3 linked regions of the Oryzias latipes genome follow. The protein of the gene in region 1 purifies or fractionates together with the protein of each later gene. This does not show direct contact. Links are inferred from orthologs where the notes say so. Each region holds a gene or a part of one and is shown in the gene's direction. Other genes may lie near its edges. The genes, in order: bmp2k, ap2s1 and reps1.

The links.
Region 2: the proteins of bmp2k (region 1) and ap2s1 purify together in Homo sapiens (affinity purification with mass spectrometry; 4 studies listed by BioGRID and IntAct, counting the BioPlex papers as one, with this or other methods). This does not show direct contact. The link is inferred for Oryzias latipes from reciprocal best matches to the Homo sapiens genes BMP2K and AP2S1.
Region 3: the proteins of bmp2k (region 1) and reps1 purify together in Homo sapiens (affinity purification with mass spectrometry; 3 studies listed by BioGRID and IntAct, counting the BioPlex papers as one, with this or other methods). This does not show direct contact. The link is inferred for Oryzias latipes from reciprocal best matches to the Homo sapiens genes BMP2K and REPS1.

What each region holds. Positions count from the first base shown.
Region 1 is NC_019867.2:32,753,820-32,764,560, reverse strand, and holds part of bmp2k (BMP-2-inducible protein kinase), read left to right. Parts: intron 1-1,600; coding exon 1,601-1,719; intron 1,720-3,606; coding exon 3,607-3,712; intron 3,713-4,723; coding exon 4,724-4,866; intron 4,867-6,181; coding exon 6,182-6,303; intron 6,304-7,032; coding exon 7,033-7,114; intron 7,115-8,032; coding exon 8,033-8,165; intron 8,166-8,433; coding exon 8,434-8,537; intron 8,538-8,611; coding exon 8,612-8,691; intron 8,692-8,810; coding exon 8,811-8,959; intron 8,960-10,029; coding exon 10,030-10,178; intron 10,179-10,246; coding exon 10,247-10,390; intron 10,391-10,741. UniProt on the Homo sapiens protein: May be involved in osteoblast differentiation.
Region 2 is NC_019871.2:14,617,412-14,628,887, reverse strand, and holds ap2s1 (AP-2 complex subunit sigma), read left to right. Parts: upstream 1-4,434; 5' UTR 4,435-4,586; coding exon 4,587-4,589; intron 4,590-5,032; coding exon 5,033-5,182; intron 5,183-5,849; coding exon 5,850-5,963; intron 5,964-6,831; coding exon 6,832-6,891; intron 6,892-7,443; coding exon 7,444-7,545; 3' UTR 7,546-8,602; downstream 8,603-11,476. Other genes in the region: ras-related protein Rab-4B, read right to left, coding at 10,327-10,442, 10,821-10,916, 11,029-11,183. UniProt on the Homo sapiens protein: Component of the adaptor protein complex 2 (AP-2). Adaptor protein complexes function in protein transport via transport vesicles in different membrane traffic pathways.
Region 3 is NC_019882.2:19,510,520-19,520,032, forward strand, and holds the end of reps1 (ralBP1-associated Eps domain-containing protein 1), read left to right. Parts: intron 1-469; coding exon 470-591; intron 592-858; coding exon 859-939; intron 940-2,395; coding exon 2,396-2,483; intron 2,484-2,561; coding exon 2,562-2,663; intron 2,664-3,034; coding exon 3,035-3,095; intron 3,096-3,728; coding exon 3,729-3,927; intron 3,928-4,004; coding exon 4,005-4,202; intron 4,203-4,910; coding exon 4,911-5,000; intron 5,001-5,077; coding exon 5,078-5,232; intron 5,233-5,304; coding exon 5,305-5,410; intron 5,411-5,477; coding exon 5,478-5,546; 3' UTR 5,547-6,829; downstream 6,830-9,513. UniProt on the Homo sapiens protein: May coordinate the cellular actions of activated EGF receptors and Ral-GTPases.

The sequences.
Region 1 (10,741 bases):
TGGTTTATTCTGTCTGTTCAATGTATAATAGAGTTTTTAATTGTATAATAATAGTTTAAAAAAATAGATGTTTCTACTTCACGGATTTTGCCTATCACGGGTTCTTTTTGCAACGTAACCCCCGCGAAAAACAAGGCTTTACTGTATTTGGTTTGTCAAAGATTTCATGTCGGATGCTGTTCCTGACACGACCCTCTGTATTTATCCGGGCTCGGGACGGCACAGTGAAACCCTGGCTTGGGCCCTCGTGGCTACACACAATTGGAAAAACATCTTGTAGTTTGCAAAACAAATGGGTTCAGATGTGGTTCCAGGAAGCTGTTGGTTTTTTGGAAGACTTGTTCTCCTGTGCTTTGTTACACCTGCTTAACTGCCTGTTCCTGTTGCTCTGTTGGCTTTCATTTGATTAAACCGATTCTGCCATATTAAATCAGTCGTCCAGACACTGATGGTCCATGTCTGGCCCTGTTTGTGTCTGTATCTGCTGTTTTACTGCATTTTGTCTTTTGTTTCAAGGAGCAGACAAACTCTGAGCAGTGGAGATTTTTTAGCTCTCGCAACTCCAGCTTTTTTATCTTTGTTAAATTTGTGGCTCATCTGCACATGCAGCTATTGTGTAACTCCACTTTTGCCCCTAGGAAACATGTTTTAGTTCATCTAACTTAGCGCTGCTGCAGCTCTAACCCCTCTGTTTAATCTGATAATGTTTGCTGAAGTTACACTCGCTGTTGTAAGTGCGCACAAACGAACCTTAAAGTCCCACGCCATCATCTTTTGATCTATTGTCAAAGCAAACATAAAGACGTTAGTACACCTCTTTGTCTGCAGTGTGATCGGAGTGGTGGTGTAGTAACTGTGATGGGCGGGGCCAGCTTATCCATGCTCCGCCCCTTTCTGATCATCCACCTGCAGACCAACAGATCCATGAACGTCTTTGTTTTCCCGGTCTGAGCTGGAATCTGGATCAGAACTGGACTGATGATAGATCAGCTATTGCTGGTCATTTTTGTTACACTGCTAATGTTGGCTTGGGGTTGGAAGGGGCTGTAAGCTAGTGGGAGAGCATGTAAACAGATGGATGATGGGAAAGGTAAACTTTGGAAGTTTAAATGATTGCACTGTGCTGTTATCTCTTTTCTTTTCATACATGGCCTTCTGCACCTCTGTGATCAGCCCACCTTTAGATTGATTCCTCACCGGGTCCTTTCTGTCCAGTGTTTGCATGTTCTGTGTTTGCATGTGTGGGTTTTCTCTGAAACCAAAGAGAGACTGTGTTCCTGTGGTGGACCTGACTTCCCTGCAGCCCCCCTGTAACCCTGTCTGAGTTGGAATTGGTGATGGGGGAAGGAATCTTTTGTGTTTCCTGTAGAAATGACTGGAGAAAGTGATGCAATGGTAGATATTGTTGTACTTCCTGCTGCGACGGCTTGATCTGCCCTGGTCCAGGAGCAGGCGGTGTGGAGTCTATGGGGCTACGATTACCGACCGCAGGCACAGCAATGCTGCGGGACGCCGTGCTGTACAGGCATGATGCTGAGAAAATGTCTCACTTCATCCACAAAGAGTGGTGTGCCTAAACTTTACGATGTTTTTCCTGCAGGAGGATTTTCTGTGGTGTTCATGGCCCGAACGCACAGCGGCGTCCGCTGCGCTCTCAAAAGGATGTATGTGAACAACGTGCAGGACCTGAACGTCTGCAAGAGAGAGATCACTATCATGGTACGGCTTTGGTCACGAGCCAGCGCTTCAGCTGCAACAGTTATCTTCTTCTCAGCTGAAGCCTTTTGAGCTGCATTCCGGTGCTTTCCTTCATAGAGACGTTCTTTGTAGTGAAAGGCATCTCTCTAAATACATATGTAACCTGCAGATCTCCAGTAGAAAGTGACCCAGCAGGACTTCACTGTTCAAGCAAGCACTGATATGAATGGACTTCATGTTTCCTTTGAGCAGCCAGTCATAATGTAGAGTGACCAGAGGTCCTGGTTTAGGGAGGAGGCAGAAACTCCTGTTGGCTGCTCACACTCGCCTGTCCCTCTTCTCCCCCACGCTCAGGTCCTCTCCCTTGATGGGCTCCAGGTAATTGGTGGGCCCCGCCCAGGAAGAAAGTCATTTTAGCCACACAAGAAGAAACAGAAATGCACATTTTCATGGAAACTGTACATTAAACTGCTGTAAACAAACAGACATAAAATAATAAACAACTCAAATCATTACAAACCACAATGGTAATCAAACAAATCCAACCCCTGCCCCCCCCCACTTTCTTATGCCCAACCCCCAAACAGGAAGTGAAGGCCGCTGCCAGAAAGGAGAGCTGAGAAACCAGAAGTCAATAAACAAATTTAAACCTGTGTATGTTCTGGATCCGCTCAGCGGGGCTGGGACAGACGGGTGATAAGTCGACACAAGCTGCTCACAGAAACAGTTTTACATTTAGATGGAGACAAAATCCAACCATAACTTCCTGAAAACCTCCTGTCATCCCTTGTTAAGCACACGTTGCTTAGCAACAGTCAAATCAGGGACAGCTTTAAAACTATCGATGCTGGTGGGATTTCAGAACAGACGTGTTCATATTTGAATTTTGAATTTCCATTTTGTGTAAACTAAGAATGCCTATACATTGAATAAGGTACCTCTATGTTTAACAGAAGTCACAAACATGCTGGAGTAACAAGCTTGTTTCTATACAACTTTCATCCAGACCATAAACTTGCCCTTTTAGGTCTCTAATGTGCACTTTACAGTAACATTAATGTTGAAATGAACACTAAAAATCATTAAAAGAAGACAAAACTTCCAAAGCGATGTGTGTGGCAGAAGTTCCCGTGAGGTCATGTGATCGATGGCTTCCTCTTTAGACTCCAGTATTTCCAGTTGAGCAGCTCTGACAGGCCTCTGCTTCCCAGCGAGGCTGAAGGAGCACAGCAGTAGCCAACGTTGGCCTCTGGTATGTGTGAGAGCTGTAGTAAAGTGCTGCAGACTGCAGAGGAGCATCCGCCTGCAGCTCCGTCTGCTTCTGTCTGCACGGCCTCGTCACCTGGAACACGGACTTCCACCCCTGCACTTGCCTCAGGTGTGTCCGTGTTCACAGCTCTCAAACATGCCGGGAACTGGGGATGGAATTAACCTACAAAAGTAGGAGGCAGGAAGGAGGATAACAAATGGCAACACATCTCACTATTTCATCTTTTACAGGGTTTAACCCTTTTTCACCCAAGATGCCGCTGGCAACACCTGAACAACACGCTCTTTGATGTAAATCTTTGACCGTTCACGGAATCGCCATGAATCCGCTGGTTCTGATGCGACGTGATGTCATAGTGGCACATTACTAACATAAGGTGTTGTCTAGCTGCTTTTCTCTGCAGCAGAATCACTTCACTGCCATGCGGTGTTGGTTATCAGCACTAGGCTGCTTTTCCCGCTCCAGAATCCTCTGGAACTACCTTCAGTGCAATAAAGCAGTACGATGGTGGATAGAATGTCAACACTGGAGCTGATTCTCTGCTGTTGAAAGGGTTAATCTGTCTAAACCCCCCCCGGTCAGTATTGCTCATTTGTGCTCCTCAGTGTTTTGCCCTGAACTCTCTGTCTTGTGTGTAGAAGGAGCTGTCAGGCCACAAGAACATCGTCACCTACCTGGACTCCACCATCAGTTCTTTTTCAGACAACGTTTGGGAGGTCCTGATCCTCATGGAGTTCTGCAAAGGTACGGCCTGTGTTTGTGCACAGAGCTTCTAACTGTGTCTGTGTCTCTCCAACTACCATGAAACTATAACACGCGGGGCGGTGTAGTGCCCAGGATTTTAAAAGCAATACGCACCGACCACACGCTCACTGCTTTGGTCTTTAAACTGCGATTATGACGTCACCCATTTCACAAAGTAAAATTGTGTTTTAGTGTTTTATGACTCTTTATGAACTGTCCTGATGATTAAAACATTGATGATTTATTAAAAAATACATTAAAATAGTTTTTCTGCAGAAATTGTTCAGACACATTGCATTGTGGTCTATGTATGCCAGTCTAGTGAGCATCGATGCACACTGGCTTGTTGCAGAGACTTCTGGGTTGTTTCTAGGGCTCTGGATTTTGGAATTGTAGGTTCGGACAGCACTAGAAAACGGCGAACGCGCCATACAGCGCAGGAATTCAGACACAACAGAGAGATTCTGCTTTTCTCACATGACCTCAGATAGTATGAAACGAAAGTAGAAAGAGATTAAGCAGAGGAAGAACTTCTGCAAAACTCTTCTCCTTCCTTCAGACTTTCAGTTTTTCTGCTGGGACACGGCGTCTGTGAACAACCAGCCTCCCTAGAACTTTAGTGGTCTTCCAGACTCTGGAGGGGTCAGCGATGGTCTTCTGATAATGTCTGAAGTCTTCTGTGTGTTCCACCAAAATGAGACAATTCAATGAGACACGGTGAAGCTTGCAGACAGTTTGTTGGTGAAACTGTTTAAAAACGTATACTTTCTGTGTAACATAAGTTCCATTGCCAACAAAGAAGTGGGCTTCAGACTTGGGCATCAATGCAGACGACTCTTTTTGGTCAGAGATTTGCTCAAACACTTTTTATGAGCGGGAACCGATTGAAATCGTAGAGTCCTGGATCTATATTCTATCTGGCTTGTTCGGTGACTCTTGCAGCTTTTTTCTGTCCCTTGTTGAACCCGTTCTCCAGCCTTGGTCTTGACGTTTCTGTTGGTGCTCCTGCAGCGGGTCAGGTGGTGAAGCAGATGAACCAGAGGTTAAACGTGGGCTTCAGTGAAGCTGAGGTCCTCCACATCTTCTGTGACACCTGCGAGGCCGTGGCTCGCCTGCACCAATGCAAGACGCCCATTATCCACAGAGACCTGAAGGTGAGACGCCGTTTCCCCTCTCCTCACCCTTTGGGGCTCTGAACTCACCTGTGTGCAGCTAACTTGAGCTTTGGATGGTTTTGCTGTAAGGTTACAAGGGTTTTTCACCTTCACTGAGAACCATGCCAACTGTGGTCAGAGAGTCTCCACAGAAAGGACACTTCATGTTTTCGTTGATATTCGGAAGTGAACGCTCAGGTTCAGTGTTACATCCAGGCTCTTAGATCAATCTGTGACTTTGGATATAATACAGACCTGGTGAAGTGGGGGAGTTTAGAGAAGTCGGCGTCTGTCTCCAGAGTTGCTGCTCTGCTTCTTGTTGGCGTGCTTCAGCGCGTGACTCGGCCTGCGATTCTGACGCCTGTCAGACTTTAGCGTGACAGCGCTGCAGACGACAGCAGCCCCTGCAGTGCATCGATGTGTTTTAGTCTCTGATTTCCAAAGGTCAAAGTTCGTAATAAATGTTTCCACTGAGCAAAGAGCTGCCAGGACGTTTCTGAGGAAGATGGACATTCTGAGCCTCATGCAGAAGCTGCATCGTCTTTCACACATTCCTGCCAGAAGAGGGCTGCGTTTTGATGACACTGCCAAGCTTGAAGCGTCACGCGTGATCAGGAACTATGGTCCCAGGATTTCTCACTACCAACCTTGTTTCACCAAAAACAGGGTGGATCTGCCAGACTTTGGGAAATCCCTGTCCAACCGTCCGTTCATGTGGTTCTTTTTATATTGAGTCTGCATTTACTGATGCTCAGCAACTGATGATGATTTCCTGCTGTGGCTGTACCCCCCCCCCCAGCGCCCCGTCAGTGGGAACGGTCCCTTCAGCCCTCTGTTGTCTGTCGGCTCAGCTTGCGTAACGCCGCAGGGACACAAAGGAGCGCGGGGGCCCGGCCCCGCTCTGCCAGGGGAAGTGAGAGTGCAGAAAAGTCCCCTGACGCTCAGAGCATGAACGGCTTTCTGTCAGAGGTTCGGTCCTCTGATCATCAGAGATCCTCAGCGTAGCGTCATTTAGGTTCCTCTCCCCTCCTCTGCTTTCTTTTCTTTGCGTTCTTTTTGCTCTGATTCTTGGCCGTGCGTTTCTTCTAGGTTCCTCGTCACACGGCTCGTGTTTTGTCTGGTGGTGGTGCTCCAAAATAAGAAAACGGTGACATGGATCAATGCTGATGTTCTGAGCTTCTATGTTGTAAAGATTGGAGTGTGACACATGCAAAGACATGGGACTCTGACGTTCAGTCACCAACACGTCTGTGAACATGCTCGTCACTTCCTGTCAATGACGTTTCCTGTGTTTGTCCTCTAAACGCCTGCACAGGTGGAGAACATTCTGCTGAACGACCAGGGGAACTATGTGCTGTGTGACTTTGGCAGCGCCACTCACAAAGTCTTACTGCCTCACAAGGATGGAGTGACAGCTGTGGAGGATGAAATCAAAAAGTGAGTATTGTTCGGCTACACCTCTGACTACAAAGGAGGATGGCGGTTCTCTGCATGACTCAAACCATGCAGTGTCAGTGTCAGGTGGTAATCTGCTTCATTCCTGTCCGTCTTTGTTCTGCTCGGAGCAGCACTCCGTCATAACATTACAATAAAAGCTTCATTTCCACCATGGATTTGGATCTCTGATGGGCAGAAATCGACCTTTGATCCCTTCAATCTCACAGCTTTAATCAGCAGGAATTCTGCTGGATGCTTCACTCACTAAAGGAAAAGGAGGATTTGTAAATCGGGCTAAACGTCTGATTTGGTCTTCATCAGTGCGGGTCATGTGGACCCACAAGACCATCCATGTTTGCTGCTAGTTGGTTTTCAATAATGGCAGCAACCTTTCAAGACGGATCAGTGGAAGAGAGAATAAATATGTGACTCCACGTTCAAGGCAGATGAGTGACAGAAAGGTTAGAGACCCTCCTGTGTGGGGTCAGAGGTCAGAGTTTGTATGAGGTTCATCAGAGCGTGTGAGCCAGAGATCCTGATGGACTCCTTTATATTCTGTAACAAACCCTTCTTGTCTCATCATTCATTCTGCCTGAAATCTTTCCACTGATCCATGATGAACTGCCTTTCTAAGTCCTGGTATGTTTTCGTTCTCCGCTCGGTGAAGTGTTGTTATGACCTCCGGAGACCTTTGACCCGTCGCTGACACGCCTCGTGTTCCTCCTGCAGGTACACCACATTGTCCTATCGGGCTCCAGAGATGATTAACCTGTATGCAGGAACCGGCATCACCACCAAGGCTGATATTTGGGTAAGACCCAAATATGGTTGGGTGTGCAGCGTCCTCCACACCACAAGCAGGACTCTGCAGTCCCATTCAAGCCTCCTGTGTTTGTCATCAGACGCTGGTGTCCTCGGTAATGCTCAGAGTGGGCTTTAGCTGTTTTCTGGGCACCGTGGTCAGAGCTGGAATCAGATGTTTTAGTGTCGCTGCAGGAATGTGGCTGTCGCTGACTCATCAACTGCACATGAATCACATCAGCTGTACTGTTTGGCAACTTCCCCCTGCAGTGACACTTCCTGTTCTTTCCAGGAAGTGACTCTATATGTTGAGCTAAGGAACAGAATCAGGTTTCTGTGGTGTGGATCCTGTCTGATCTACTGGATCAGCTGTGTGAAGAGTTTGTTCCAATCGTAGCAGATGAAGAAGAGAGATCTTCTTTACTCTGGCTGGTTACAGACACACCGTATTCTCCTAGAAAGGTGACGTCCACCAGAGCCAAGCTGAGAGCAGGTCTGCATGAGGACGAGGACCAGAACAGGTCATTTTTAGAAAAGCTTCGGTTTCTTGAGCTCAGCTCCAATGCTTCTTCAGAAGAGCTGTTGTTTCTGACTCTGATAAAGGCCTTCATGGCCTGTCTAACAGGCTGGAACAGGTGAGGGGCGGTCCTTCAGGTGCAGGCGTGGCTCACAGAGCCGGCTCCTCTGGTTCTCATGTGCTCGACAAACGTGTCCCAGAGGTTTGATTCTCCTGTTGTGGAGACGCTGCAGTCATTTGAGTCGTCTGTCAAAATCCTGGTCTTCTGCTTTTTCTGTTCTGCATTCATGCTGCAAAGTCCAGAGCCTGTGACCCCCCCCCCCCCCCCCCCCAGCACCTGAAAGACGGTGTGATGGTGGTGTGGGCCCACACATGCATGTCCTCCTGAAGGCTTCCTGCTCTTCTCCTCAGGCCCTGGGATGCTTGCTGTACAAGCTGTGTTTCTTCACTCTTCCTTTTGGGGAGAGCCAAGTTGCCATTTGTGACGGGAGCTTCATCGTTCCGGATAACTCCAAGTTCTCCTGCAGGCTGCACTGCTTGATCAGTGAGTGGCTGATGTTGGTTCATGTCCCCTTCCAAAGGCTGCCGGTTCAACCTGGCGTGAGGCGGGTGACCCAACATGCCGCCTGCAGCGGGTGATCGTGTGGAACAGTGGACTGTGGTCTTTGTTCCGCCGCGCTAACAGCCTGTTTGAACCGGTTGACTTTGCTTTGATTGACGCCCCCCAGCAGGATGTCCACCCCTGTTCAATGTTGGATCAGCAGCACCACCAAGTGGCCAAAGTTAAAGATGCACTTTTGTGTCTGCTTCAGGATACATGCTGGAGCCGGACCTGGAGAAGAGACCAGACATTTACCAAGTGTCCCACTTTGCCTTTAAGTTAGCGGGAAGAGAGAATCCGGTACCAAACCTGTGTGTGAGTGTCTGCACTCGCCCCACTGGCACTTTTGCACCTGTGCAGGTGTTGACGGTTCTGTGTGTGTTCTGCAGAGCTCAGCCATCCCCACATCGCTCCCGGAGCCGCTCACAGCCAGCGAGGTTGCTGCCAAAAAGAATCTGACAAAAGCCAGGTGGTGTGGCTGTTCCTGCAGGCTAACACTTCCACGCACACCGCCACGCTGGTTACAACATCACAGACGGTTTGGAGGTTTGTTGGTTGTTGGGTTAAAGGTCAAATTCTTCTGTCCAGGATAACCGACTCAGTGGTTCCAACTGAGACCTCCATAGCTCCTAGACAGAGACCAAAGGCTGCAAACTCCAACGTTCTCCCCCTCGCCAACACCGTCACCCCGGCCAAGATGACCGTGCCTTCCACAGCCGTCAGCAACGGCCAGAAAGGTAACGGATGGGTCCAGTGTGACGGCACAGCCATGGTTTAGCCTGTTTCATGCTAACCAGCTTGGATTTGAACTGCAGCTTTTTAAAAAAAGCTTTAAAGGTTGGCATGAAAGCAAGGCTGCAGAGCCAAAGCAAAGACGACGTGCACAGACCAAAGCACCTCCTCCTTGTTCATTCTGTACCAATAAAGGGAGGAAGCTGTTTGGAAGCAGTCATGGCAGTATTTCTATTCACTAGAACTGAAGTTTTCATCCACATTATCTGTTTTGATCCATGCATTCAGACTCTTTTTTTATTAATATCTGTGAGGAAACTGGAGATTCTAAACAGGACTGTAAAATAGGTAAATTAGGCTGGTTCGTTCCTTTCAGTTTCCTGCACACAGAAATGAATGAATAATGACTCAGAGACTAAACTTAGCTTCAGTGAAGATTTACTCCGCACAAATTTGTACGAAGGGTTACAGACAGATGAACAGGGTTGCTGCATCAAAGTCCAAACAACGGAGCTCAAAGTCTGAACAAAGAAAACAGGGAAATGGGCTTGGTATGTGAGCCCTGCATTTGCATATTCAGAAGGTCTTCCAACGCACAACGATGTGAAAATCACAGCCACAGACTGTTGCAGGCTAGGTGCTCGAAGGTCAGAGAGCTTAAAGTGTCAGATCTCTCTGAGGTCACAGACATCTGCCAGGACACCAGCACACACAAAGATGAAGGGGAGGAGACTGAAGGAATGTCACCAGACAACAGTCTTGGTTGTGCAAATGTAATATAATTTTGAGGTGATAATACATAGTGAATCAAGTTTAAACCATCAGTGTAATAAAAAGTAAAAGTTAGTGTAATAAAAGGTAAAGGGGAGTTTCTAACTTTTCTGTTTCTAATTATTCCTAACAATATCCTTATTGTTGTACCGTTTGGTTACAATAGGTGTCACTTATGGCATTTCTTATTTCTTTGACTTGATGAAGTATTTCAGCTTCCTTTTCTGTCAACAATCACACCAGCTTTTTCCCAGGAAAAGCCTTTCTGCTCGTTTTCACCACACTCTTCATTTGGACCCCTCAGCCCCCACTACCAGCTCTGGACAGCCTTCCATGCAGGCCCAGCCGAGCTGTCTGCAGAACCGAATCCTGCAGCAGCTGCAGCCAGGTGATCTGCGTCTGCAGCAGCTGCAGCAGCAGCCTGCAAATGTGCAGCAACTCCAGTACCTGCAGGTACGGACACGCACAGCTCAAGGTTTTGGGTTTTCACACTGAGCTCTGACGGACATGACTTTGCTCAGTACCAACAGGCAGTGCAGCAGTCCCTCCAGCTGCAGCAGCAGCAGCAACAGCAGCAGCAGGTCTTGCTCCAGCAGCAGCAGCAGATGATGATGATGCATCCCATGTACCAGCAGCAGGTCGCTCAGGCCCAGTATGCGGCTATGGTGAGTTCTGGAAAGAGTCTGGATTTGACCCAATGGCTGCCAGGACGCAGTGTACTCAGTGAAAAACTGCAGACTTCATCCAAACACATTGAGGCGCAGCGTGAGGTCCATGATCCATTCCATGTCAGAACGGATCCGTTTTGTTCAAACCTGGCAGCAGGCCGTCTTCACTCTTCACCAGCCACTTGCCAAGCAGCATCACAAGCAGACGCTCAAACTTCCTGCTGAAAATCCGTATTTACGCAGCGACGGAGTCAAACACAAACACAGGTCCTCCAAACATGCAGGAAGGGTGGCTCCATTTTTAGCCCGCTCTCCACCAACTGCACACCATCTGCTCCACTTCAGAGG
Region 2 (11,476 bases), on another chromosome or scaffold:
TGTGTTTTCCCTTCTTGGCTCCGCCACCACGTTGTTTTGACCGATTCTCATTCGCCTCTGTCGAGTCCCAAACACAAGAGTCGGCAGGAAACGCGGTCCCAAAAGCGTCCGTAAATCAGCGGGACGGTGTTTTCCGCGTGCGGAGGCGCGCGAGGAAGCCCCGAGATCTCCTTTCTGATGTACTAGAGCCGTTCGCTGGAGAAAATGTGTGACGCGCTCTGTCTATCCCTCTGCCCCTCACTCCCTTCGCTTCTTTTTTTTTTTCCGGCTTCCCAATAATGGCGGACCTTGTGAATCCAGCATCTCCACTCCTGCTCACAGAAAGACTCTCGCCCAGTGGTTCGTGGACACAACTACAACAAGCACGCTGTTGGTACTGGCGATGCCTGACAGTACACAACAACACACCATGGAGCAACATTGATTTTTCAATAAAAACATGGCACAAAAAGTGATGAAATGTTGTGTCTGGTATCTAACTTTCCTCGCACTTTAGAAAGTGGTTTTGTTTATTAGACTGAAAAATTGGGTAAAAGGGCCTCAACACTTGCAGTGGTGGGTCTGTTTAAAAAGGAAATAAAACTGTATTGCCAAGACTCATTACTACAAAAAAATAAACCCACCAGATGATTTGTCTTATAAGCAATTAAAAAAAATCTGAAAAGTCTGAATTAGAAATATGCATAGGTTTTTTTTAATGGTAAAGCAAAACAGCTGTTGCAAATAGTAGCTTTGAAAAAAAAGAAACAAGTCTAACCTGGTTGGCATCAGTGTCATTTAGCCAAAGATGTAGACTTTTCCAAAAATAATAATACAAGTCCCAAACAGGGGTGAAACAACCAACATTTACCACAGAGGACAGAAACTAAAACAAGCTAAATGTGTCAGCATTTACCTGAATTTAAGTTGCACTACTTTACTGTGCAAAACTAACATGGCAAAAGACAGTTTTTATTCTCGAAACACAAAATAAGTGTGTCAAAATGTGATACCCAGGTACAGTACACACCTTTCATATTTAAATTGTACATTTTATCCTTAAAAAATAAAAACAACTTGTGCACTTCATAAAATTTACAATATATAAAAAATACAGTGACACAAATGAATACTTTTCAAATCAGATCAACATAAAAACAAATAAGATTCAAATGTAACACATTTAACTTAAAATATTAAACAGTTATTATTGAATAACTCATAAATATAAAGTAAAGGCTCAACAACTCATACACCATGTTCAACAATAGTATCTGTCCAATGCAAGAGGCTCCCTGCTTGTGTTTAGACAGGAGGGAAAAAAACAATGCACATTTCAGGAGCCAACCTAGACAGTTTTAAAGCAAAATGTCAAATGAAATACTAGTAAAGATAAAGTCACAGTATGCTGCTTAACTGGAATAACCTCTAAAAGAGTAGGTTTTAACTTTGAACTCCTCACGTGGCTCTCATCTGAACTCTGAGGCTGTTGGAGGGTCGAGGGAGAGTTAAAAAAAACTTTTATTCACTTAAGTTTGGTGTCTACCTCTGAGGAGGTGTAAATGACCTTCTGGGTCTACAAAAGTCTGAAAAGTCCTTTGTTTCATCGTAAGGAAACAGAGAGGAAAACGAAAGCAGTCATAAATAAACGTAAATTATCTTCCAAGACACAAAGTGACCACACCAAGAAGCAAAGTGATAGCAATTGGAAACAGCGCGGCCACAAGAGAATGAAACACAAGCAGGGTTTGTAGCAGGAACAAAAACTCTGAGTACTAAACAGGGCCACAAATGTTAAAAAATAAACACAACCACGTTGGACATTGATTTGTCCAATCAGTCTAATCAAGAAGTAAAAAAACAGTCCCGTCAAAGGTAAAATCGCCCTTTTTGTACTACATTTGAACCGTACCGTAACGATAAACAACCAGTAAACCTGTCTGCTCTATGCTGCTTCATGGTCTTACCCCCCTTCCCCTCCTATTATCACCCTCCTACCCCCCTCTCTCTCTAACGTCCCTCTCTCTTCTTCCCCTCTTTCCTTTTCCGTCCGGTCCAACACCAAAGATTTTCAAACATGATTGAAATTAATAAAGTTTGGCCTCAATTACAAAAGGGGTTTATTCAGACATACCTTTGGTTTGTCTGAAGATGAATAACCCCTCTTGTTAAAATAAAATATGTCCAACACAAGAGGCCCTCAGCTCTCATCTGTTTGCCTAGCTGTTGGACAGGACAAGTTAAAAAAAAAAAAAAAAAAAGGTAAAATCGAATCATTTCAATTGGATTTGAAAAGTCATCTATTAGGAGAATCATTTGATGATGTTTGCATTGTGATTAGTTCAGCCACTGAATGATAATTAAGTTGTGTCTCTAAGGAGGACAGTATAACAACTAAGAATTGTCTGATTTGTTGTAAAGACAACAAGCTAAGAGCTCAAACAGATGTTTAATGTTTTGCAGCGGGACCTTGTTCGGAATGAATTCCCTGTGACTCTGCCCCTCCCTCAACGTCTTCCAACAGCCCAATCCAGACTTAAACATGTACGATGAGCACAAATGTTTCATTTGATGCAAAAATGCAGGCTGTTATTTGAAAGCGGAATGAAGTGGGCCTACTTTAAAAGCCAACTAAAATTTTCAATCCAAAAGGATTAATTAAAAATATTTTGGTTACTTTTTCAAATTGGTCATGTTGTGCAAAAACAAGGTCAGTGAATTTACCTCTCACCATTCTTTACATGACTGAGTTTGAAGAGAAACTATTCAACTTGTGACAACAAGAACATTAAAGCTGAAGTTTGCTTTTTAAATAACAGTAAAAGCTTAAACTTTATTTTAATTTTAACCACCCTGCAATGGAAAAAACAAGACAAATGTAAAATTTAATGACTGTTATCAGGGGGTGAGTTGCCTTGTTTTTTCATGGGATGGGAATTTGTAATAAAGTGAGTGTTTATACATATTTTGAGAGAGTTATGCCACCAAAAAAATACATGTTCAAGCTGGGTTAAAAGCTCACATTTGGTTTTCTGTCCAATCGTATCACTTAATGTTTTTAGCAATATTTGCATGACCCCACTGCAAAGAAAGATTAACATGGGTCAAAGTTTCTGTTGAACGATCTGCTTCTGTTTTCAAATCCATTTTCGGTTATTTCAACACAGACAAGGCACAGTATAAGCAATCTACTTGAACTAATAAATTACAATGCTATTTAAGATATTTTATTTTTTACAAAACATTAACAGAGTTCCGCTGTTTTTTTTACACATATACCAAAACATTGCTGAAAGAAATAACTAGAAGAAAAAGTTTTTACAAAGGATTTTTGGCTTTTTTCTTCTCTTTATTGTAGTTTATTTATAATAAACATGTTTTTTTTCCTATCTGACCTCAACCTCTTCAACATTTGCAGCTGAATTTTTGCTGGGTCCTTGGGGAAACACATTCCTTCTGCTGCAGTTGTGCAATATCTGATAATCCCAGTCTCCCCAAGCATTTAAATTAAATCAGGAAGTCCACATTTCTCCTTTGCAGTTATAAAAGAGGAAAATATGTTAAATTGCAAATACATAAAAAAGACCAGGGTTTTATTCCAAAGTTAACTCGTTATGAAACAATATTGAATACTATACAAATTAGACTTTTGTTATTTTCGTCTGTAGCCATGGCTGCTGTAGTGTCTGTGGCAGTTCTACCTTGACTTTCGCCCCCCTCTGCCTCCGCAAAAAAAAGGAAAAAGAAAATGTTTCCTTCCTTTCACCACACTTGTGTTCAGGAGAAATGAAATTGGAAGTGAAATTGGAAGAGTCTGGATTCACACCCTTTGGCATTTGGGATTTTGAAGACACCTGCTGTATGAAAGAGGAACTGTCTGGCTCATCCTTTTGACTACTAACAGGTATGGAGAGAGCTCCAAATATTTTAGAAGTCCCCATGATTTGCACCTAACATTGTATCATTCTATCCTACTTCTTCACCAGTTGTATCGCTTTCAGGGTCACAGGGCTGCTGGAGCCTATCCCAGCTACTGTTGGGTGAAGGCAAAGTACATCCTGGACAGGTTGTTAAAAAGGCCATAACAGAGATTGACATGTATAAAAAAAATGCTTTGCCCTTTTAATAAATATACACGGTTTTAAAACCTGGTTTTTTGTTTCTTTATTTTATTTTATTTATTTATTTGCAGCAAGAGCTCTTGGTCGATTGACCGCTATGTCCATGTCTAAAACCCGCCAATGTGTAAATATTTAACACAAAAAAGTGTGCATTGCTAAAGAAAGAAGGTGTTAAAAAAAACTGAAAAACTGATACATAAAAAAACCATTGCAAATCATGTGACTTGTTGAGAACTGGACAAGTTCTTAAAAAATGAACACTGGTGTTTGTAGTTTCCTGGTACATTCCAGGAGTTCTTATCCAACCGTTAAAAACACATTTCCCATGGTGCACCACAAATCAACGAAGCTTTCCTTTTTCCTGTTAGCTAGTGCAGATAACCGACGAGCTCTCGCCCGAATAACTGCTTTTTAATGTAAAACCACTAAATTGTTACTCAGGAACTCGATATTGTTGTCACCAAAGGTTCTGCTAAGGAGACGAATATGGTAACGTCGCCTTTTTTCCTCCATGTTTTGTTTTTTCCACCCATAGTCTTTCAACATTGAATTGCTAGCATTGGTGGGATTCGTACCGATATGCCGTTCAATGAGTCACTTGACAGCCTTTGCTAGACTTCAGAAAACAAAAAAACAAAACAAGGAATACAACCTATTTAGAAATTATTCATATTTTATGAATTCTATAGCAATTAAATTGTTCGCAGTTTTCTGTCGGGAGGCAAATGCTAATGTAACGCCGCTGTCAGATTAGCCAAGAACGTTAACTAACTAAGTCAGGGAGGGAGCCCTCGAAAATTTGTGGATGTTTTAATCTCTGGAATTGAATTAACTGCTACACTTTATTTGTGGCGTCTGCTACGCATTTCTCTTGATTTCTTGATTTAAAAATAGCTATGCCTTGCTTACTTATTTTCTTTTTAATCCCAAAGATCCGGTTCATTCTCATCCAGAACCGGGCAGGAAAAACCCGGTTGGCCAAATGGTACATGCAGTTTGATGATGATGAAAAGCAAAAGCTGATCGAGGAAGTACATGCTGTGGTTACAGTCAGAGATGCCAAACACACCAACTTCGTGGAGGTAAAGAAGTTTACTATTCATGTTGTCAGGCAGTGGTTCAGTGTTCGTTTAGCTCGATTTCTTTGATAAAACTAGTGTAGATGACTGTTTTTCAAAGAAGAAAATATAGCTTAAATTGTCAGCCTTCACCGATGCTTCAGTAGATTTGGTGCAAACACGTGCAAATTACTTAGAATTATGACTCAAGATGCTTCCATCATCAAGCTCAAAATTATTCAAACGCACAGCAAATACATTTTGTTGAATCAGCAAGTTTTTACCTGATATGAAACTAAAAGTGATTGAAAATACATCTCAAATTCTATTTGAGTTTGTATAATTGTAGTTTTGAGGAGCAGCTAACAGATTTTCTCTAATTATTCAAAAACCCCAGGGGGATTTTTTAACTCATTTTTTATTTTTTTCCCCTGTTTCTGTATAAGCAAATAAAGTTGTTTCTGCTGCTGCAAAAAAACATCCCGCTTCAAATCCTCCCATTTCTTTATTAAATATGGATATAAAGATGAATATATATGTTTGTACCACATTTATTTTTTTTATGATAAACATAAAATTATCATGGTGTGTTTTGCCTCAAAGTCTGGGAGCCTATACCCCAGTAAATCTGCTGTTGTCATAATATGAGAAACTCTATTATTAACAGGCTGATTCCACTTTGTTCCCACAGTTCAGGAACTTTAAGATCATTTACCGGCGTTATGCTGGGCTTTACTTCTGCATTTGTGTGGACGTGACTGATAACAACCTGGCATACCTTGAGGGAATTCACAACTTTGTGGAGGTGAGTACACATAATGTGCTCTGATCATTTTGTTATCCTGGTCAAATGTGTTTCGTGTGTCTGACCTTTTTTTTTCCCTTTTACTTATCATTTTCTAGGACTGGGTTTTGCCTAAAAACTGATGATGTATCATTCCTCCAACCAGTTTTATGTTATATTTCTGCCTAAAAACAATTTTGTAAGATTTTGATTAACACTTTCAGAAGGATAGGTTGTTCTAAAACTTTACAAATAAAAATAGCTGAAAAAATGTTTTGTTTTCCCTTGAAAAAAGTTGCTTCAAAAGAAAATCAGTTTATAGATTTGATGAATCAATATATTGAAAAAATGAAGTTTTGTTTTAACCCGACCATACCCCTTAAAAGTTTATCATGCAACATTTATCTTGAGATCATTTATATTAATTGTAAAATATTCATTAACAGATACCATTTCCATGGGGTAAAGTTATAGTTTACCCAAAGACATCATTTTAGATTTAATAAGACGATATCGTTTGGGATCTCCTTGTGACAACAATGTAATCTGTTTTGAATTTTAAAAACAAAAAGTGAGCAACATGTAGAAAAAAAATGAATTACGTGAATATCAGCAAATGGATAAATTATCCTCAAGTGAACTTCCAAACAAATAGATTTAATGGGCAATGATTTGATGGTAATTTATGTTATTAACAGTGTTGTGCTAATTCAGTTGCTTTGGAAAGCTTGAAGAAGGAGAACGGTCACTTCCATGAGTTTAACAGTCTGTAGTGACACTTCATTAGTCTGTGTGCTGTCCTCTCAACAAGCTGAGACCCAAAATGTTGCTCATGAGTCTTTCCCGATTCCTGAATGAAGCTTAGGATGTTTCCTTTGTGTTCTAAAAGGTCCTGAACGAGTATTTCCACAATGTGTGCGAGCTGGACCTGGTCTTCAACTTCTACAAGGTAAGAGCACTTGAAAATCATCATTTGTCCATTTGCTTTTGACTTATTTTACAAATGCCTCGTACAAGAAAGTATAAACAGAAGGACAAGTCAACAGAATTTCCTTTTTATCTGTTTAAAACTTGGATGAACTCCCCTGGATTGAAAATTCAGTTAAATGAACATTTCCAAACTTCCCTTGTTCCCCTGTTCAGAACATTCTGCTATGGTTAGTTAATTCACTTATTCTTCTGTTTTGTTCTTCCAAATTATTGCCAAGATACTAACAAGCTGTGAAGTGATACATTTATAACATTAAAATGTTCAAAGCATGAATTCTGGTCTGTATTCCTTTAATGGATCAATTATGTTGAACATTTTTTTGAACATTTGAATGTCAAAAATGTTGTTTTTAAGAAGCTGACAGATTGTTTTTCAGTTTGGAATGGAAGCATTTTTTAAGAGAAGCAATTTTGCTCAGTTTGTGACCTAATTTCCCGTGAACTCTTGGTTTTTCCTTTTTTTTTTCTTTCTCATTTCTGACCTTGTCTGTTATGTTTTTTCCCCTCCAAGGTGTACACAGTAGTGGACGAGATGTTCCTGGCAGGAGAGATCAGGGAGACCAGTCAGACCAAGGTCCTTAAGCAGCTTCTCATGCTTCAGTCACTTGAGTAAAAACAAAATCCTCTGTCCTTCTTGCCCACCGGACATCCAAAAAATATATATAAATACAAATACTTTGATGTGTAATGTCACTTCATATACAAATCCTCTAGTTTTTCAACATGCCAAGTGACAACAGGCATGTGGACGAGGACTACACAACATCCACTTTTAGATATCCAATCAGCCGTTTTTTTTTTTTTCCCTGCAGTTTTTTATCTAACCTTCTGAATCGTTTTAAAAGACGTCTTTCACTACATTTCAACGTGTCAGCATTTCAAGTTTCTTTGAGTTTTTTTTTTGCTTTTCTACAGCCAAAGGCTGCAGAAATGAGTTCTTCTCCACAGTTATCTTTTCATTTATGGCATTTGTCAGAAGCAACTGTGACGGCAGTCTTCTCATTCCCACATTAAACAAAGCAATTCTTTAGCGGCACTAGAATTTAGAAGCCCCATAAACTCAGGCCAGGCCCACCTTCCCTTTACCTTATCTCTGATTGAAGTAGCCTGTTTATCCAAAATAATGTCTTTAGGTGGCATTTATAGTTCTCTTGTGTTCATGTGTAATGCTTACATATGCAGATGTGTGTGACTGATGCCAGAGCTTGTAAGAGGGTGGTACAATGCAGGATTGTCAATCAAAACGGTGCTCTTTGGTCACTGTTAACATTTAAAACGATCCGGAACAAACAGGCGGGTTTTATGTGAAGCACTACTTTGGGTTTGCTTTGTGTGATCTGTGTAAACAGTGTTGTCTGTGAGTATTGTGAAATGATTGGTCACGAAGATTAATCTTCAAAAATATAAACTCATTTGAGATTAATACATTCCAACAGTGTCATATGTGCATTTAAAGTACTGTCCCTTTGGACTATCATTTCTGGTGAAATCCCATATTTTTACCTTTAGTTGCTTCACATGTTAGACTTTGGGTTTTTCATGAAGACAATATTGAACTATGTACCCACCTGGCATTTGATAGAGTGCTAATGGAAGATGTTACTGTCTTAAATTCAGCTGCCTACATCAGCAGTCCCATTTTGTGTAAATAAACAGATTTATCGTTCAGCTTTTCTGTTATTTCTTCAAAGAAAATGTGTACAGTGTTATAAAAAATACATTTAAATTCTGGCAGCACCATCTAGTGGCCAAACAGTAACATGAATGTGATGTCATCTCAAGCCAGTCTCGGGTCAATAAACCAGTCAATATATCTATTTCAGCTTCATTAAACCACTTAATCTTTCAACTTAAGAGCATTAAACTAATTAGAAAAACGACCTGTATTTATTTACTCATTACATAAGCCTTCTGATATCCTAACAAAGCTGGAAACCTTTTGAGGCAAGTGGCTCAAAGGAGGAGAAACCCTCTACAATCAAAATCTTTATTACTTAGACTTTTAAAATAAAATGTACAATTCTTTTGATACAGTATATAAACAAAACATACATGACATTTTGAAAATAAAAGTGCACTTTCAGAGGAGGAAAACCCCAAATACCTGCGAATGGACTCTACATACTTTGGACAGTTCTATATTATAGTTACCCTTCAGTGTGCACACACGCACACTTTTTTCTTCTCCCCTTCTCTAAAGGCCTGTTTAGAAAACAAACCTGAAGGGCAACGATGACTTACAAGGATAGAGTCATCACTTCCTGTGCATCCCTTCCAATCGGCAACGTTTGGGGAAAAGCCAACCTTAATAGAGGGGGATCTACAAAAACAAAGCACAACCTGCTGTCGTTTGTAGGATCATCCCTTGTGCTGCATGTGTTTGTAGAAAGTGATTCAAAAGTAGGTTGAGGAAAAAGAAAATCCAGCAGCGGCAGGCCAAAAAAAAAAAGAGATTTTATATATAAATAAGTACGTTTGGGACTTTGGGATTTTAAATGGAATAAAAATATTATTTTCGTGCTTCTTAAGCTACACAGTGAACTGAGTAAACAAAATGTGTTGAAAAGGTGGAATCATTAGGAATTCTAACTATAAATTCACAATTTGTAAAACTCTTTATATATTCACATATACACTTTGAATGCAAACCAAATAAAAATACAGATTCCAGCCTTTAGAGACAACATCCAGCTGAGGCTCACTTTACATTCAATAGTTAGCAGGTTCAATGTTCAAGAAAACTTTAAAAGGATAAAGGATGTGGTAGATTCTATCATTTTCAATTTCTTTAAGTATACATGTTTCGAAATACAAACGTTTCCACAATCACATTTAATTTTGGGCTCATCATCAGTCATGTCAGGAGACGCTAGATAAGAGTGCTTCAAACAGTGACAGTAGGAATTTACAGACAGAAATGTGCAAGTGCAAAAAGCAAAGTTTCTAAAACCTGAATAAAAAAAGAAATAAAAATCAAAAGGTTGACCAACAGCAGCCCATATGGACCACCGTTGACTCGTCCTTGTCTGGTAAGCAACTGATGAGGACATCACGTCCTTATGTCCCCATCACGCTCACACTGAAGGGATGCTTCATCCTAGATGCAGGGGCAAGATGGCCCCCTCAGGTAAGGAGGCTTAGCGAGGGCCAGGGGCTTGTAGGAGTCTTTGTGACCTCACTCATCCAGGTGATGTAAGGTGAGTGAGACTATAGGGTGAATGGTCACACACACCAAAACACCTGGAGCTGAACTGAAGGACTGAGCAAACAAAAACCAAAAGTTGATGCGAGGCCTGTTTTTGTCTAAGTACTTCAGACAAGAACGCTCACTGACCTGTAGGGGGCGTCCTGTCCGCGTGGGGCTGCAGGCTCAGGTTAAGGCGTGGCCTGACCCCTAGCAGTTACACTGCTGCTTGTTCTGTGTTGTTGTGCCTCTCGGCTGTCGCAGCTGCCTTAGAGACGCGTCTCCATACTGAATCCCTGAACCCATCCTCTCTGGGTCCAGCTCTCCTGCAGAGACCATTGCAGAGAATGGGAAAAACTGTTACCAAAATAAAATACAATAAAACAGATTTTAAAAGAGGGGGCGGGGTAACTCAACACCAACCCACAACTCAAAAGGCGAATTTCTAATGAACTACTGCTGATCTGCAGGAAAACAACTCCGGATTTTGATTTTGGTTAAAAATGAGATAATCGTAATAAAAAGATCAGTGGAAAAGAAAGTTAAAATATGTTAAAAGAGGATTGGAGTGGGACTTCAAGGTATTAAATCTTTTGAATGTAGAACATATTTAAAACTACAATATGGTCCCCAAAACAACATAAATTGTGCAAATACACACACAAACAAAGAGACATGCCTGTTTACCAAAGACTAAAATATACCTGAATCTATCTTGTTGAGGATGGTGCGGGCACACTTCAGGAAACCCTCCTCCACATTTTCGCCTGTCAGTGCACTTGTTTCTAGAAACATCAGTTCTGTGTGGACAGAAAACAACCACATGATGGTCAAAGGGGGACACGACGGATCCAGGAAGTGTAAGACATGTTCAGCGAGGACACACACAATGTTTCTAGACAAATCCGTTACCATTTTCCTGAGCGAAGCGTGAAGCTTCCAGGAAGGTCACCTCTCTGTCTGCATCCAAGTCTTTCTTGTTGCCACACAGAATGATGACGATGTTGGGGCTAGCGAGCGTCCGTGCATCAGTCAGCCAGTTGGACAGGGCGTTATACGTCTCTCGGCTGTAAGACACAGAGATGGACATTTTTGTGAAACAGCTCAGTATGAAGACCAAACCTTGATATCCATGGTAACATGAGGCCAAATGTGTGGGACAGAAGGGTGGAGGCCTGGGCTCTTGATGCTTTACAGCTGCTTTCAATAGCAAGAAAATCTGACGCAATTCCTCCTCCGCACACCGATGGCACAACTCCAGCTCAGTGGGATTGTGGTTCTCATGTTCCCCTCGCCCCACTCCATTGTTCTACATCTTGCCCCCGCTGTTCCTTCCACAGCCTCATCCGTCCACTTCCTG
Region 3 (9,513 bases), on another chromosome or scaffold:
GAAAATTGGATTATAAAACACAAAAACAGACAAACAGATGAACTCAGGCCAGTTCATGATAATAATCGGACATTAAGCCGGTCTAAAAATCTGCCACAGCACATACCAAACGCATATTTTTTTAATACATGTGTATTTGTCCATCTACATTTCTGTTATTTAAGTATGTATCCATCGTAAAGCTGTCAACACTTCCCCGCCTCCATGCTGTTTTGGCACATCAGACATGTTTATAGCTGTACCTCTGCACACAATTACAGACATTTCATATTTTGCATATTTGGACACTTCCGTTGTACACTGTGCACCTATTGTACACAGTGATATTTTTAGACGATACTTTGTCTTGGAAAGTTTTTGTCTTTGCACTGTAAATGGTGATGGCTTCAACGTCATGACAATAAAGGCATCTCTCTCTCTACCTCTACCTCTACCTCTGACCTGAAACGGTTTTCCTGTTTCCCCTCAGAAGTCCCGGAGCCGACTCCAGATGTTGGCTACTCGGCATCACCTGTAGAGGGCACCCCCAACAAGTCCCCCTCCATGCCGTCTCTCAACCAGGCGTGGCCCGAGATGAACCAGAGCAACGAGGTTTGAGCGCTCTGCACACGCTCACAGACGAACACCTCAGCGCCGCGTTTGCCTTTGACTCTGAATCCATGACTCTGTTTTCCTCATCGGCCTGCTGTGGTCTGTCTCCATCCTCCTCCTCAATGTAATCTCTGATAATTCTGCTGATCTTTTCCGGCGCGCCGTCATCGCACCGGCGCAGACTGATGATGTTCATGTGTGATGTCACCGCGCCGCTGACTGACGTGTTTTTGTTTTTTTTTCTCACTCTCTGTCTGTCTCCTGCAGCAGTGGGAGACGTTTAGCGAGCGCTCCTCCAGCTCTCAAACTCTGACCCAATTTGACTCTAACATTGCACCAGCTGACCCTGTAAGTCAATCACTTAGTCTGCATGCTGTCACTGTGATGCAGCGACCCATTAACCCTCGCCCTGCCTGTCTCCGAGCATGAATGTCTCCGGGTTGCAGCTCAGCGGCCGTTGTGATTCGCCTGCCTTCCTCTGTCCAGCATCCCCTTTTTCCTCCACGCTGACATCCACCAATCAACAGCTTCCTTTGAAAACACGCAGTCCTGAAAATTTGACACATTAGTCGACGGACGACCGCTCTGCACTTCATACGATGCCATCGGAATCTGAAAGCCAGGATTTAGTCGCTTTCTGCTGCTTTCATCGATGTCCTGCAGGCAGAACAGAATCAGAAGCAGCGGAGGGAAAAGTCTAGCATGAACACACATCGCTTTGACTCTTTAAAGACTCGCTCTGTTGAAAATAGTGTTTTTAACGTGTTCTTATGGCTTCTTTCTGATGATGGACAAATATTAGGGAAATTACAGTTAAAGAGTCTTTATTCTAATCGTTGTGGGAAAAAATGCCATTTTGAAAAAGTTGCTACAAAGAAAATATGCTGAGCAGCTCTGCTCCATTCTGATCATCCACTGTCAGACAAATACATCCATGAACGTCTTTGTTTCCCTCGTCTGAGCTGGAATCTGGAAGCTCCTATGTTGCTCACTGCTAATGTTGGGTTGGGGCATGAGGGATTGTAAGAGGGGACAGGAAGTAAACAGATGGATGACGGGAAGTGCGGGCCCCAGTTGCTTCTCGGAGATGAAGTTCCAATGAACTCCTGCTATTCTGCAGAAACTAGAAAAGGACACAGGGTTTTGGATTTTTGCTAAAAACAGCACAATCATAATTCAAAGACCATCCATCAAAAGATGATCCGAGTGAGAGTTTGAATGGCTGCATGTCCACCGCTGTAGCTTCATGGAAATGTCTGAGGTGTGACGGTGTGTTCAGAATTAAAGGTTAAAGAGCACTTTGAGGTTTTTGGAGAGTCTCCATCGATGCAGTCCAAAGGTGCAGAGTTGAGCCAAAACAGAGGCTTGCTTTTATTGGACAAACGCTGTAGATGTGTTTGTTTGTAAATCAGTGGTTCAGTGTCTCAACAGAAAGATGCAGGACTCTGATTTGAATAGGAATTCATCAGAATAGGCTTTACATTGAGTTTGGTGAGGCTAAAAAGAGGGAAAAAAGGGGAGAAAAGTCAACAAAACTCCTATTTCCCTTCAGCTGTTCTGCATTCATGTTTTCTAATGATAGCTTTTCATGAAGATAATAAGGGAAACTGTAGAGATGTCTGGAAAAAAGTTCAGTTAGGGAGTTTGACTTTAATATAAATGAAAAATATGTGATGATGTGGAGAAAAGCCAAGTCTTTTTTTTAGCAAATCTGTAGAATTGAGTGGATTGATACATGGTGTCTTCTCTAGTGTTTGTCCGCTTATGTCTTTTTGTTGAAGTAAGCTTTCCTTCTTTTGTCCAGGACACGGCCATCGTTCACCCCGTTCCCATCCGGATGACGCCCAGTAAAATCCACATGCAGGAGATGGAGCTGAAGCGGACCGGCAGCGGTCAGACGCCACTTTCACTGCTCGTGTACACAACCCTCAGCAAATTAAAAAGAAACGTTTGTTGTTGTTTTTTTCCAGACCACAACCACCCCGCCAGTCCTCTGCTGGCGAAGCCCCCAGAACTGTCCGAAGAAGCCAAGCTGCCTGCTTCCATGAAGTTTGCTGCCGCCAACGCCGTGGGTGAGTCCACCCTGCCCGCCGTTTTCTAACCACTCATCAGGGTCATGCCGGCATGTTGCGTGTTTGGCGTGTCACATGTAACCCTTGTGCTATCTTGTGGGGTCTAGATGACCCCCACTTTCAACGTTAACGTGCCTCCGAGGCACGTTAACGTTGAAAGTGGGGGTCATCTAGACCCCACAAGATAGCTAAAGGGGTATGCAGACATGTTGAATGTAAGGGAACCATTGACAGTAAATGAGAACTAGACGACCCACCGGCATCTACTTTAGCTAACAAGTTACTGTAACTTCTCAAAGTAAAACTGCTCTTTTGAAATACTAAAGAGAAATCTTCATCCGCAAGCTTCTTGTATTTTTTTTCTCCTGCAGGTGACGGCTACAGCAGCTCAGACTCCTTCACCTCAGACCCGGAGCCCATCACCCGACAAAGGTCTGAGTCCTGGTCAGGTCTATGTGGTTTGAGTCATGATCAAATGAATGTGTTTCTGTTTGGTTTATCCCTTGTGCTATCCTAGGCACTTTACCATTGGGAGTTGGGTCATCTAGACCCACTAGACAGTGCTCTGAACCTTTTTTCTTCAATGATTTGTGATCTTCACTGGTGTCCATGGATTACATGAAATCTTTCCACCTTTATCCACCTTTGTCATGGTGGGGAGAACATGTCAATGTAAGGGTGGGGTCATCTGGACCCCACAAGATAGCACAAGGGTTAATTAAAGGATTTTCCCATAACCATGGATTTAAGCTACAAAAAAGCGGAACTTGGATGAAGGAAATCATGAATTCCTAAAAATAAAATTTAATAAAACTGTAAGAGTAATGTGTGATATTTATAAATGTATATTAGATCTTTAAGTAGATAAAAAAAATCCAGTTAAGATTGTTTACGTTATAGTTTTAGTTCCTCATTCATTCCTTTGTGGGGGTTCCTCAGGGTTCCTCATTGGTCCCTCTGAGGTTTTTCTTTATACTCTTCCTCTGAAACCTCAAAGCATACTTGATACTGTAATGTTTTTGTTTTGGTTGCTTTTATTTGTTACCTTTGACCTTTTTTATCCAGGTCCCAGTCGGGAACGTCTCCAGAGACTCTGAAGGTGGTAGCCCCGCCCCCTCCCCCTCCCCGCCCCCACCCTTCTCACTCCCGCTCCTCGTCTCTGGACATGAATCGCACTTTCGCCGCCTCCACTGCTGCGGGAGCGGTGCAGCCGTCGGCGATCGCGTTCCCCCCCGCAGTGCCTCCTCGCCCCCTCCCCACACAGGTGACAGCACAGTCAGGACTGTAAGTTTCAAAGTGCGTCTGTTACTTCATCTGTCTCCTGCCGCCGCCCCTCGGCAGACGTCGGTGCCCGTCACCGGGCTTCGGGTGGAGACCGAGGCCGGCCCGGCAAGGGGAGCGGCGCTCGCCACCACCACCTCCCCCCAGCAGATCCCACAGCAGCCCAACTTCGCAGACTTCAGCCAGTTTCAGGCCTTCGCCGCTTCCGAGCAACCGTCCAGCCTGCCAGAGGTGGACAAGCACAGCGAGGAAGCACAGGTGAGCGTCTCCTGCAGACCTTCCAACAGCTTCATTCATCCCATTCAGAAATGTTCGTCTAATGGACACCTAGAAGGGCATTGTCCCACCCATACCGCGCTCACTTACAAAACATTTAATTGTACTTTAATCTATATATATTTAACTTTGACATCATTTTTCACAATAAGCCGTCTATTTGGTACGTGGTGTGACGCATCGTCATGGTAACGACTACAGAACCTGCAGGTCGCTCTGTTTCATCTGGTGTATGAGGACTAGCCCGCACTATAGGGCGCACATCAATGAATGGTCCGTTCTGGAACTTATGTCATGAATCAGAAGCAGACGTAAAAATGCTGTTGGAGAAAAAAAGCTTTCTTGTGATGTAGAAGATACACTGGGTGGGCCATGAGGTCTCAGTAACGGCAAGGGGAAGGGGGCACGGGGTTGCTCCGCCCCAACAGCCCCGCCTACAAGGCAGAGGTGAATTTCCAATGAACTCCTGCTGCTCTGCAGAAACTATGTCGATGGATTTTTGCTAAAAACAGCACAATAACGTCTAAAAGACCACAGGGATCATTTTGAAAAGATTATCGGAGTTTGAACTTTAACCCTTTGGAACCTGGGGCCCAAAACCTTCATTTTGCTCACATGTGAGTCTGCATTTCTATTCAGCACATCCTCACCCATGTGACACCAACTCTTTTTTGTCCTCTGTGTCCTCAGGTGGAGAAGACGGCGGAGGGCGCTGCGCCTTTAAGAACTGTGAAGAGCGACGGTCCTGCAGATGACAGGAGCTCGGCGGCGGTGAACTCTGTGCGTCACTCACACCGTCTCCGCTTCGGTTTTCTTTGAGCCGCTTCCACTAAACCCTCCCCTTTTTTTCCCATCAGGCTAAGGGCTCCTCAGGCCCGCTGGCTCCTCCCCCAAAGCCGGTCCGTAGAAGGTTGAAGTCGGAGGATGAGCTGCGGCCTGAAGACGAGCAGCACGGGCTGCAGAAGTCCAACATCATGGCGGCTGTCCTCGCCACACAGCCGTCCATCCCCAGGTGGGGGCGGGGCCTGCTGACGTCACAGATTTTTGTTGACATTTCCGTAAGAAAAGGTCGTTGGTTTTTCAGGTCGGCCGGAAAAGACAAGAAGTCGATCCAGGCGTCCATCCGGAGGAACAAGGAGACGAACACGGTTTTGGCGAGGCTGAACAGCGAGCTGCAGCAGCAGCTGAAGGTAAGAAGCCCCGCCCTCCCCGCCGTTCCTGGAGTGGGCGTCTCCTGATGGCTTCGTGGCGTTGCAGGACCTGCTGGAGGAGAGGATTTCCTTGGAGGTGCAGCTGGAGCAGCTCAGGCCCTTCTCGCACCTCTAACCCCCCCACTGTGGCCACGCGGCTCTCCTCCAATCAGATGTGGATGACGGATGGGAGAAAGGGGGGGCGGTTGACTCGGCACTTTCCAGTTTTCTCTGGCGGTCCGGCGGTCCGGACTCTGAAGAAGGAAACAAAAGCTTGTGCGTCTGTGTGCGTGTGTGTGTGTGTGTGTGTGTTGCGTGTGTGTGTCTACACCAAACTCCGGTCAAGTGCCTGACCTTCACGAACTCCTCCACCCCCCCAAACCCGCTCCTTGAAAACGTCTTCCAGCTTCCTTAATTCATTTCTCCTGATCTGGACCCAAACAGGCGTTTCTTCTTCACTCCGTTCTGAGGAACACGCCGGCTCCCCCTGGTGTCTGTCTTTGGTGTTACAGTGTTTAGGGATTGACGGAAGCGTTTTTTGCCAAACGACCGGATTCTTCAGTCTCACATTTCACTCTTTGGGGGGGAAAAAAAAAGTTCTGTACAAACTTGAAGAGCCCCCGTTCTCCTCCCTGGAGCTGATGCTGGGGGCGGAGCTTCTGCAGAAAAAAGGCGGGACTATGCATTTTGACAGAGGGACTCGGGCTCAGAGGTTGGCGCTCTCATCGTAGCGGAAAAAGCTTTTTTTTGTTGTTGTTTTATATCTTAGATCTTCCATCTGCTGCGTGCTTATGGTTCTGGTGTCGGTACAGATCAGTAGAACTCAGTTTCAGTCAGCAGAACCCTGAACGACCCAGCCGCACTTTGACCCCACCCCCCACCTCACACAAAAGTTTATACTCGCCTTGTTCTTTTAAAAACGCTTTAAGATGAAGAAACGAACCAATCAGAGCGCTTGGTTTCTTCCAATCAGTTTGTTCTCTCCTCCTAACCCCCCCTGAGTTCCCCCAACACACCCTCTTACCTATTCAGGCGTTCAGGTTTCCGCGGTAACGGAGTGACCTCAGATCTGTTGAGAGGAAATCTTATTTAAACCCAAAAATGTTCCATGTTTGCCCCCTCCCCTATCACACGACATAAAGGCAATCCATGCAGGCAGAAGCAATCAGTCATTCAGAAGTTTGAATGCTCTTAGCCCCCCACCCCCACCCCGTGTGATGTATATTGGAACCCCCCCTCCCCCTGGACTCCTGTGCACATTTTGCATCCATTGCTGCCTAACAGCACCAGAACCATCTATTTAATTCTCTCCTGGCTGTGGGACTCTAGATGTTGAACTGCATGGACGTCCTGGATCTCTGCAGGATTCATTAGCAGCTGTGTGATTTTTACACAAAAATAAAAAGTGACATTATTTTACACCCGACTCTATTTAATCTGTTCCTATATGAGGGATTTCTGATGAACCTTTTGTTTAGATTCACATGGAACGAAAGAAAAATAAAACAGCAGTTTAAGGATTTGGAAGAAAACAGTTTTCAGACTTAAGTATCTTTTAAAGGTTACCATGTGTTTGAATTACTTTGATAAGTATCACTCACAAATCAAATTGTTTTTTGTAATTAAGAAATAACATTTTATTTTGGGGAAATGAAGGGACTTAACCATCCAAAACTTAAATTTAATGAGCACAAAGACAGCTGAGCGAGTGTTTTCAGGGAGGAACCTGACAACCGAGCGACCCCGCATTTTCCACGGTTGCCATCTGCGCTCCTGCGCTCTCGCTGGGTTTGCGTGCAGTGTTCAGAGGAAGTTTTTGTCACTTGGGGCGCTAACCTTTCTGGTTGATATGATTGGCCGAAATTTACCTGTCAAATCCGGTGAGGAAACTGGGCGGGACTTGCATTTTTTTTAGAGGCTTTATTAGAAAACACAGCAGCTGTAACGTGGATTAACCAACGACCCAAGACAAAGGTAAGAAAGTGCAGCGGGGTTTTTTTGTGCTGTAAGTTTTTCCTCATGTGAAAATCGATAATTTCGCTTATTCGTTAGCGTTGTCAGGTTCCACCTTGAAAAGACTCAGTTGTCTTTCTGCTCATTCAATTATTGGCTGCCATGAAACTACAATAATAACTCGCTCACTTCCAGATTGAAGCACATTTAAAAACTAAAAGTATTTGAAACCATGTCAGTTAACCAAAAACAAAACATTACTTGGTTTGTTAGATAAAAAACAAACACCTCCATCACTCAAACAAAGTGACTTGTTTTCTGGCTCCAAAAAATTGACTTTACTTTAGATTTAGCCATTTAACATCAGAGCTTTAGCTCCAGTGTTCACATTCTTTTAAACTTCTCAACCGCTTGCGCAGTTAACATAATTCCAGCGGATTCTAAAGCGGAGAAAAGTACGTCTGCACTGATGTGCAAAACTTGACGGACGAGAAGTGTCTACTCCATCAACATAGATCAGGTGATTCTGCCGCGGAAAGAAGCGTCCTTGCACCGTTACGCTAACTTTACTAATGTAAGGTGTTGTGTGTTGGTGCAAACCCCATATAAAAGCCATTTTTCAGTGCGTCAGAATCAGCTGATTAACGTTGAACAATTTACAGCATGTCAAAGAGCGTGTGTTATTTAGGTGTTGGCAATATCTCCGGTGTTATTAGCATATCAAAGCTGTGCTGACTATTTTTGGACCTTTATTTTTATTTCAGATCCATCTTATGTTCTAATGAAGCATATTTTGAGTAAATCTCTGACTGACTGACCGTTAAGTTCCGGGCGACATCTGGTGGTGGCCCAGGAGGTTCTGGACCGCCACAGAGAAACCAGCGTGACGGTCTACTCAGCCCCGGAAGAGCGTCGTCTTCCATCACTGTCAATCATTTGTGTCTCGCCCATTTTTATTAAAGTCAAATTTGGCCACGTCGGACTTGAAATCCTCTCAATTCAAGCCAGAACGTGATACTGTTTCATCTTTGTTTGGGGGCGGGGTCGACTTCCAACAGAAATGTTCAACACTGACGTCTGACTTTTTTTCTGCTCCTCCTCTGGGGCTGGATCTGACAAATGAACTCTAGTCTGAAGTCCCATTTTTTTAGTACAAGTTAGTCTTTCAACATCAAAAGGTAAGACCGCATGATCCCAACTGCAGCAGAATAATCCGCTCTTGTCCGTCTAGCAGATATTTGTGAATCCAGAAAAAACAAAACCTTCATGTTCATGGTCTTTCTGCAAAAACACTGATGTTAGTTAAAAAGAAATCCCGAGGCGTTTGCTAATTTGTTTTTGTCCTAATTTTGCTAGAACTTAATGTTTTTTGTTTGTATTCGCCGTAATCATTGATTGTATCAGAGAACTGGAGTGAGAGAGTGTGATGTCACTCACAGGAAATGGTTCATGTCCACCTCCAACAAAATAAAGTTCATTCCGTCGCCACGTTGGAACTAGAAATCGTGGGTAAAATTGACTGAAACTCTGTATTTGTCCACATCCCTACTAACTAGTCTGGGAGAATCTGTCAAACATTTTAAACATTGGACGTGAGACCACATACTTTTATTGAGGTATCAGATTGGTCAGTTTATAACTTGCAAAAAAGAAAAAAAATATGATGAAAACAGGATTATCAAAAAGGTTTATATATAGAATGAGTTACAGCTGTTTATTTCTACATAGACGTCTATAAGATTTTGGCCACTTGGAACCAGCGGGTACTCAGAACACCAGGGGGAGGAGTCACTCAGTCCAGTTCTCACATACAGGACCTCGTACTATAAAATCATAATAAAGTAAATTTGGAGCCCCCAAACCATAAAATCATGTAAAAGAACCTTATGGGATATTTGCAGCTTTGGTTCTGAGAGGCTTTTGGTAGGATGGATGAAGAAAACCAAAGGTAAGGTAAAAAGCTGATATTCCTGTTTCATCAGAAGCTACCGTGGAGCTGCAGGCCTCAAATGAGGGGCTACAGATCTGCATAACTCCCCTGGGGTGGGTTCATTGTTTTAAAAAATATATAAATGTAATATTTTGTCAATTTTAGCCAATATTTTTTTATTTGTTTTCCAATGCTGATGCTACTTTATAAACAGGCTGGT